2 linked regions of the Mus musculus genome follow. The protein of the gene in region 2 purifies or fractionates together with the protein of the main gene of each other region. This does not show direct contact. Links are inferred from orthologs where the notes say so. Each region holds a gene or a part of one and is shown on either strand. Other genes may lie near its edges.

Region 1 (3,817 bases), on a different chromosome or scaffold from region 2:
CAGGCCAGTCTAGTCTACATAGAGAGTTTCTGGACAGCCAGGGCTACATAGTGAGAACGTGTCTCTAGCTAGTTAATTAATTAATTAATAGTTGAAATGCATGGCAGCCCATGTCACTCTTGCCTCACTCAGTCACCCTCAGACTTCTAAAAGCGCTGGCCCTTTCTCACCACCTAGATGCCCTGGGATGCAGAGAGAAGCTGAGTCTCTTACCCCCTCAAAGATGGTGTCCTGGTTAGCGGGCATGCCTGGCCCTATCTCTGATGGAGAGACACTGGAGTCGGAGTCGGGGTCAAAGTACGGGTCATAGTAGTTTTCCTCTAGATTCTTGATGGTTTCCTCGGTGAATTCGCCGCCCAGGTCATCCTTCCCTTCTCCTGGAGCTGGCTGCAGATTAAGGGAGGGAAGTGGCAGAGTCACTCTGGGAGGCTGGCCACATGCAGGCTCTGCCTGGCCACATGCAGGCTCTGCCTAGCAGGCACTGAGCCTAGCACTTCCTGCATAGAGCTGTCAGTGGCCCCACCACAGAACATCTAAAGATAAAGTCCAAGGGGGATTCCATGAGGGAAGACCTGTGGCCCCCAAAGGTTCTCTGCATACCTCCCGGCCACCATGGGGATGGTTCTCCAGGCTACCTAAGACACTATAACAAGTCAGGGCAGGAAGGAGCAACAGTGTCCCTCAAAGCTGACTCTATCCCTGGGGAGGTCTGCGTTCAGTTGCTGATTAAGAGTTTGCACACTGGAAACTGGGGCTCTTTCCAATAGTGAAGAACACAGTGGGCTATGAGCTTTATTCTGGTAGCATGGGTAACCACCAGTGATGTTCATGGATGGAACTCCTGTATCCCAAAACTACAGTGTTATGTGAGCTACCCTGAGAGCAAGAATGCAGAGCCCACGGAGATATTCTACCCATTTTTCAGGGGGAACTGAAATAAACTCAGAAAAGCCAATGGCTTCTAAACCACACTCAACCCTGCTACTGAGGACTCGGGAGCCAGGGTGTGGAGTGTGGACAAGGAAGGCCACCCAAGGAGGTTCGTGCTCAGCAGTGACCCAGAGCCACGAAGCCTTTGCCCCCTCTCCACCCCTGCCCCCGAGATCAATACAAACTGGAAGGAAGGCAATTACATTGGAGGTGTTGGAGGTAACAGTGGTGCTGGTGGGGACCTCAGCCCCTGAGTCGGGGTTGGTGGGCTGGTCAGGGTTCTCCACACCCTCGCCATATCCAAAGTCTTCATATGGGGGTGGAGTGTAATAGTCATCTGGGGGCACGTAGTCATAGTCCCCGATCCCTAGACTGTCCTCCTTGTCAGCCGTGTCACTGGTCTCAGGCACTGTAGGGGCTTCGGGTAGGGGCTGGGTCTGCTCCTGTGGGCAGAGTGTAGAAAGAGGCAGTCAGATACCTGATCCAGGATTTCCCAAGCTCCCAAGCCAGCATCCTCCTAGCACATCAGTGATCAGCAAAGTGTGGGCATGGAGTTACACGAAGGCCCTCCATTCCTGGAAGGCAGAGAAAATGAGGGAGGCAACCATTGTGGTGTGTGTGTGTGTGTGTCTGTGTGTGTGTGAGATCAGGTACCAAGATGTCATGAATTGGTGAAGGACCATCTAGTGACATATCAGGATATTTCCAGATATCCAACAACAGCTTAAGCTTCCATGTGTGTATGAGGGGGCGGGGGGGAGATGGGGTGGCCTCTTACCCTGTAGCCCAGGCTGGCCCAGAACTCATGCTTACTTCATGAGTTCCTACTTCCTACTTCATCGTCCCAAGGGATAGGATTATAGGTCCACAATGTCCTATTAGTGTGCCATAATGCCCATAGCCTCTGGCTCTCAACCCTGTGGCCTAGGGGAACCAGGAACCTCCCTAGCCCAGCCCAGTCCAGATCAGACCTCAGGAACCTCTGTGGTTTCTCTGGCAGCTTCCACTGGCTTCTGAGTAGGGGCAGGCTCCTTTCCCGGGTCTTCAGGGTCTTCATAATATGGATACTCATAGTAATAGGTCTCACCCTCTCCTTCTGGGTACTGAGGTCAATGGTGCCCATGTGGAGAAGAAAAGGAATGTATTACCAAAGCAGCCTATCAACCACCTTGTCCTACTTGGGTGAAAAAGCAGTGCCATAAGGCACTGTCAAGTCCCAGGGGTCCTCAGATAGGGCTCTTGCCTCAGCCTCTCCCCAGAAGCCTAGCATGGGGAAGGATGACCCCACACGTTACTGAGAGGTCAGCAAAAGCTGAGCCCTAAAAGTGGTTACATGTGACCCATAAAAATCAAACCCAGACCAGCAAAGTTCACCTTTAGCCCCAAAGCATGGGTGCCCAGTGAAAGGGGTTCACAGTCACTAACAGGCACTCTGTCCTCAAATACAAACCAGGGACCTGGGGGGGGGGGGCTGGAGGAGGGCACAGGGGATGAGGAGAGTGACCCAGCAGAGTGGGAAATGAGGAGAGGGACCAAGGGGACAGACATGGCGGCCCTTCAGACTTACTGTTTCTCGGAGTCATGTCCAATATACACAGGGCCGGGCATGCCCTATTAAAAAATTTCAGGTGCCCATGAGGGAATCAACCGAGCTCTAAAAAACAACTGAGGCCACAGGCTGAGGGCAAAGGACAACTGTCTGTCTGCATTCATCTAAGGATGCATATGGAGAGCTAAGGGACACAGTTGTTGATGACACTCCCTTGAGAGACTTGATCAAGGTATGTGTGGGTCAGGGGGAGCTCCTCTGTGGTAAGGTGGGTCAGACATCATACACTGCTTCCCCTACAGTTTGCTGAAAACTCAGTCCTCTGGCTTCCAGAATCCTTTATAACCACAACCCTGCCGACTCTGAACCATCCTGGGGTTCCGCCTGTGCTGCCACCATGAACCCAGCCAGAGATGACTCACATATTCATCCGGGTTAGGGTCCTGTGACTGAGGTGTGTCAGGGACCGCAGTGTCACAGTCGGGGCTGTAGTGCTCACAGTAGTCATAGGCAGCTCGGTTGTCAGAGACGAAAAGCAACTGTTGGATGTCACCCTGCAAACAGACAAGAGCTCCTGAGCAAACAATGCAGACACCCATGGGGGTCTGGGAACTCGGGGGTCCAGCCTGATGTCGTGGGCAGGAGAGAAGCCTAGAAGAGACCTTGCAAGGAGCTATCCTCAGGAGCACACTTCTTCCCAGCAGACGCTGCTCTCAAGAGCTACTTAAGCTAGTAACCCATCCAGGGACTCATCTTCCCATCCATTTACCCACCCACCTATGCTCTTATCTACCTTCCATTCATCTAGTATCTAACCATTCGTTATTCACCTTCCCACCCATCCATCCATTCGTCCATCCATCTAGTCACCTACCCATCCACTCATCATCCATCCATCCATCCATCCATCCATTTACCCACCAACCTATCTGCTCATCTACCCTTCAATTAATCAACCCTCCACCCACCCCTGCTGTCACCCACTCATTCATTTATCCACCTTTTCATCTAGCCAACAGCCTGCCAGGCAGGCAGCTACTAACCCGCCCATCCATCTACTTATGTATCCTTCTACACAATTCACTCAACTATCCATCCATCCACCATAGTTCATCCATCCATCTACCAAACACCTCTTGCACACTTGCTAGCTTGGTGCTCACAGTTACTGCAGTTACCAAGTATAAATGCAGCTGCCCTAGAATCAGGAGGGCATGTCCCTGTCACCATCAGCCTCCAGTACTGAGGGATGTTTCTTTAAGATGCAATGTTTGCTTTTTTATTGAGTTAAACATGGAATTACCACATGACCCAGAAGTTCCAAACCTGGAAACTAGA
Region 2 (3,817 bases):
ATCATGTCTATATGTGCCTTGCTATATGTTAGCACATTATGACTTTTAAAGGCTGGGATGAAGTGGACTGGGGTGGCCAGCTTAGTAATGTTCTTTGAATTCACTGGTAGAAGATTCTCAGATATTGCATGGATGAAATCTTTCAATGTATGAGTATGGTTTGATTTAGCCTCTAACACCTTGTCATTTACCACAAGTATAGGCAAACTATGGGAGAATGAGCGGCATGTAGAATATATCAGACCTGCTGATTCAAAGGCTTAGATATCTGGTTGACCCAGAATTCAAGAGAGCCACTTGAATTGTAAGCTACCAAGAGCTGTGGGTTGTGAGACACAAGCAAAAACTGCTTACTGCAGGTCATTCTGTGAGGCTCCAGGAGCCCTCCACAACAGTGGGGGCACAAGAACAATGGGAAAGGACAGAGGTTAGAGGGTAAGAAAGACAAAAGCAACCTCACTCACCGGTCCTTGAAGAAGAAGATCTCACCACGGATCTGAGCGATGCCATCAAAGACAATGTCCTGTTTGCAGATCTCCGGAGTGACAGGTCCCAGTGTTGGTGTGGGGCCAGTACCAGTGTCAGTATCAGCATCGGGGGAGGGCCCTAGGGAATGGGGAGACACCTGACCCTAGACTCTACCCAGCAACAAGGCTTCTCATCGCCAGGCTCAACCCCTGTACTACTCACTTAACTGGCTAAGGCTACAAAAAAAAAAGAGCAGTCTACCTGGGTAGAGCCTGAGCTTAGAGAAGGGACCAGACGCTTGACTCTTGTGTGGTCTCTTACTTTAAGAACAGAGAAGGCTGGCTGGTGCCAGTAGAGGTGTGGCACTTTCTTAAGGATTTGCTTTTGTACTCCTCAGGCTGCGCAACAGTGGAGTCTAGGGAGGCGAACAGTTGCATCATTCCAGCTGGCATGTAGCCTTAGCGGGACTGCAATGTCACCCATCAATGTCTGCATCTCTGATTCTTTCCCAAGTTCAGAGTCCGTGAGCTTCCCCATCCAGGTTTCACTTTCACCACGCGCTTGGTCCAGGAACCACTAGGACTATTATATAATTGATTTCTTTTTTTAAGAAATTGACTGGCTGCTTTTTAGCCTCTAACCTCACTGAAAGCGCAGACAATAGGCCATCATTGGTGGCAGGAAGCAGTTATTATGTTTCTATGGCAAAATGAAACATGAGCATCTTACAAGAACTAGTAACACCCATTTCACGCCAGAGAAAATTCTGCCCTGTAGGCAGCTCCCTCTTCTGGATCCTAAACCCTACCTGGCTGCTGAAACCTAGTTGATATTGGGCTAAACGCCTTTCTTAGCCTCAGTTCATATACCTAGCACATGGAAATGGGAACCAAGAGAGGCATGGATAACTAGAGTCTAGAAAGGACAGAGCTGTCTCAGAAGCCCTTTGGAGCATTACTCTAAAGCCTGAGGACCAGGCACGAGCCATGTCCCCTGATGATGTCCCTGGCCATTCTAACTAGATGAGGTCTGGCATTTTCCACTCCTGCGTCTTCCCACCCAGGCTGTGGGATCCTCGAAGACACCTCTCCCCTCAGAGTCCCACAAGCTGCGGCTTACCATAGAGCTCCTGGATCCCCTTGATGTCATCATGGGATAATCGGAAGTTCTTGGTGTAGGTGTAGATCGGGGCCATCAGAGCTCCAGGGTCCTGAGAGTGTTCCAGCCCCATGGCATGGCCGAACTCATGGGCTGCCACGAGGAATAGGCTATATCCTGAGTGCCAAAGCAGGGACATGAGGTGGAATTCAAGAGAGAAATAAGACAGGCATCAAGACTTGCTTAATAGGAAGGAGGTTTGGGGGAGGACAACTCCAGGGTAGAGCTAAAAGTTCTAGAAGTGGCACATATTGGTTTTTCCCTTGTGCTGAGAGTGCTGTTGCTTTTGAGTAGGCCAGTCAGCATCCTCTTGCCTTTTCCCAATGATGGCTGCATGTGGTATGAGGGCGAGAGAAAGGGGCATCTGCTTCAAGTCCCATCTGTGAAAAAGCATGCTTTTTAGCCCTTTGTGAGAGTTGACACAAAACCTGCTGCTCAGGATCTCAAAGAAGAAGAGTGAGAGGGAGAGTCTGGCCTCAGGGTTTCACCATTTCTTCCCAGGGAAGGAAGTAAAAGCCACTCCCCTGGGAATGCAGCTTGATGATATAACATTCGCCTAGTGTATGCCAGCAAATCCAGTCCCATGGGGAAACTGAAACAAAACATATTCATGCCTGTATGGCTTGCTCAGGCTTGGCCATGGAGAGCAGGCAAATCGTGTGCCACACCCTCCGTGCTGTGACTCAATTATCCCACAAGCCCCACTACAATAACAATAACAATAACAACAACAACAACAATAATAATGATGATGATGATGATAGTATAAAATAGAATTCTGTCCCTGGTTACCTAGGACATGCCATCTTATTTGCAGACATCACCAAAATGGAAGCCAGAGCCAAGAATGATATATCTAACTATAATTCCAGTGCTTGACATGCTGAAGTAGGGTTGTGAGCTTAAGACGAATCTGGGCTGCATAGTGAAACCCTGTCTCAAATAGATGAATCAGTTAAAATGCTACCCTCATTGCAGCCAACGAGCCCTTAACCCACTGTGGATTACAACCTCTTAGGAAGAGAGACAAAGGGACCGATAGGGACCAGAGAGTGACATATAATGGCTGAAGCGGGCAATAAGGTGATACAGGCATGGGGGTGGGGGTAGGGGGATGGGGAGAGACACTTTGGTTGTAAACTTCCAGCCTTCTGACTAGGGGAAGAGTCAGTTTATGTTGTCCTAAGCCACCAGTATATTATGCTTTGTACGTGGCAGCCTGAGTGGCCACAAACTCTTCACATGGGTGGAGATCTCACCATAGGCAGAAGTTGCACCAAGCAGGGGTGTCAGACTATCTCCTATGATAGCCTTTGGCGGGCAAGAAAAAATTCCTAAGAAAACCTCATTTGGCCAGCATTCACCAAAGTGCACCTCAATACAAGAGAAAAGCAATCATCACAGAAGGAAGAGTGTCCCGGTGAGCATCAACTCTCCATGCCACACAGCCTAGAGTCATCGTTAAAACTCTCAGTTGACTGTTGATCTTCATCAGGTTGGTCTCCAGGCATGCTGCCGAGGAACTCTCTTATTATTAATAGATGCAGAGAGCATAGCTTACTGCAGCTCCGTTCCCTACGCATATACCCTAGGCTGTACAGGAAAGCAAGCTAAGCGTCAGCCCGTGAGCTAGCTACATAGTGCTATCCTGCCATCAGCCTGTGAGCTAACTACACAGTGCTATCCTGCCATGGTTCTTGCCTCCAGGTTCTCACCTTAAGTTCTTGCCCTGACTTCCCTCAATCTGGGAGTGTAAGCCTCTTTGTAGATCTTTCCTCCCTAAGTGTTCATTCACAACAACAAAAATCAATCTAGAATAGAAACCCACCTAATTCTGCCAGATCCTGGACCCATCCCCTTGCCTAAACATTTTGGGCTACCTGAAACACTGAAGTCCTGGGCATCTAGGCAGTGAAGGTTGCCCAGCTCAAAGACCAACAGTAAGGTCTTTCAATGACTCCTGCTAGTGACAGTCCTGTCTGGAAGGGTAGCTGGAGTGGTAGGTAAGAAATGCAAAAGCAGGGCTGATCCCCACTCAGGGTCAGTGCCTAGTCATCTCATTTTGAAGCTGTATGAATGTCCACCTAAACTGTCTGGACCTAAGCAGGGAACCTGTCTTCCCTGCCGGAGCAGAGTTTCCTCTGCTCTGAAGGCTAGATCTGAAGGTACAATGGGGGTATCTTGTTTAGAG

Evidence for each region.
Region 1: the proteins of Mmp2 (region 2) and Col5a1 purify together in Homo sapiens (co-immunoprecipitation; 3 studies listed by BioGRID and IntAct, counting the BioPlex papers as one, with this or other methods). This does not show direct contact. The link is inferred for Mus musculus from reciprocal best matches to the Homo sapiens genes MMP2 and COL5A1.

The regions. Positions count from the first base shown.
Region 1 is NC_000068.7:27,948,843-27,952,659, reverse strand, and holds part of Col5a1 (collagen alpha-1(V) chain precursor), read right to left. Parts: intron 3,034-3,817; coding exon 2,902-3,033; intron 2,034-2,901; coding exon 1,902-2,033; intron 1,374-1,901; coding exon 1,134-1,373; intron 388-1,133; coding exon 214-387; intron 1-213. UniProt on the Homo sapiens protein: Type V collagen is a member of group I collagen (fibrillar forming collagen). It is a minor connective tissue component of nearly ubiquitous distribution. Type V collagen binds to DNA, heparan sulfate, thrombospondin, heparin, and insulin.
Region 2 is NC_000074.6:92,837,179-92,840,995, reverse strand, and holds part of Mmp2 (72 kDa type IV collagenase preproprotein), read right to left. Parts: intron 1,744-3,817; coding exon 1,588-1,743; intron 607-1,587; coding exon 465-606; intron 1-464.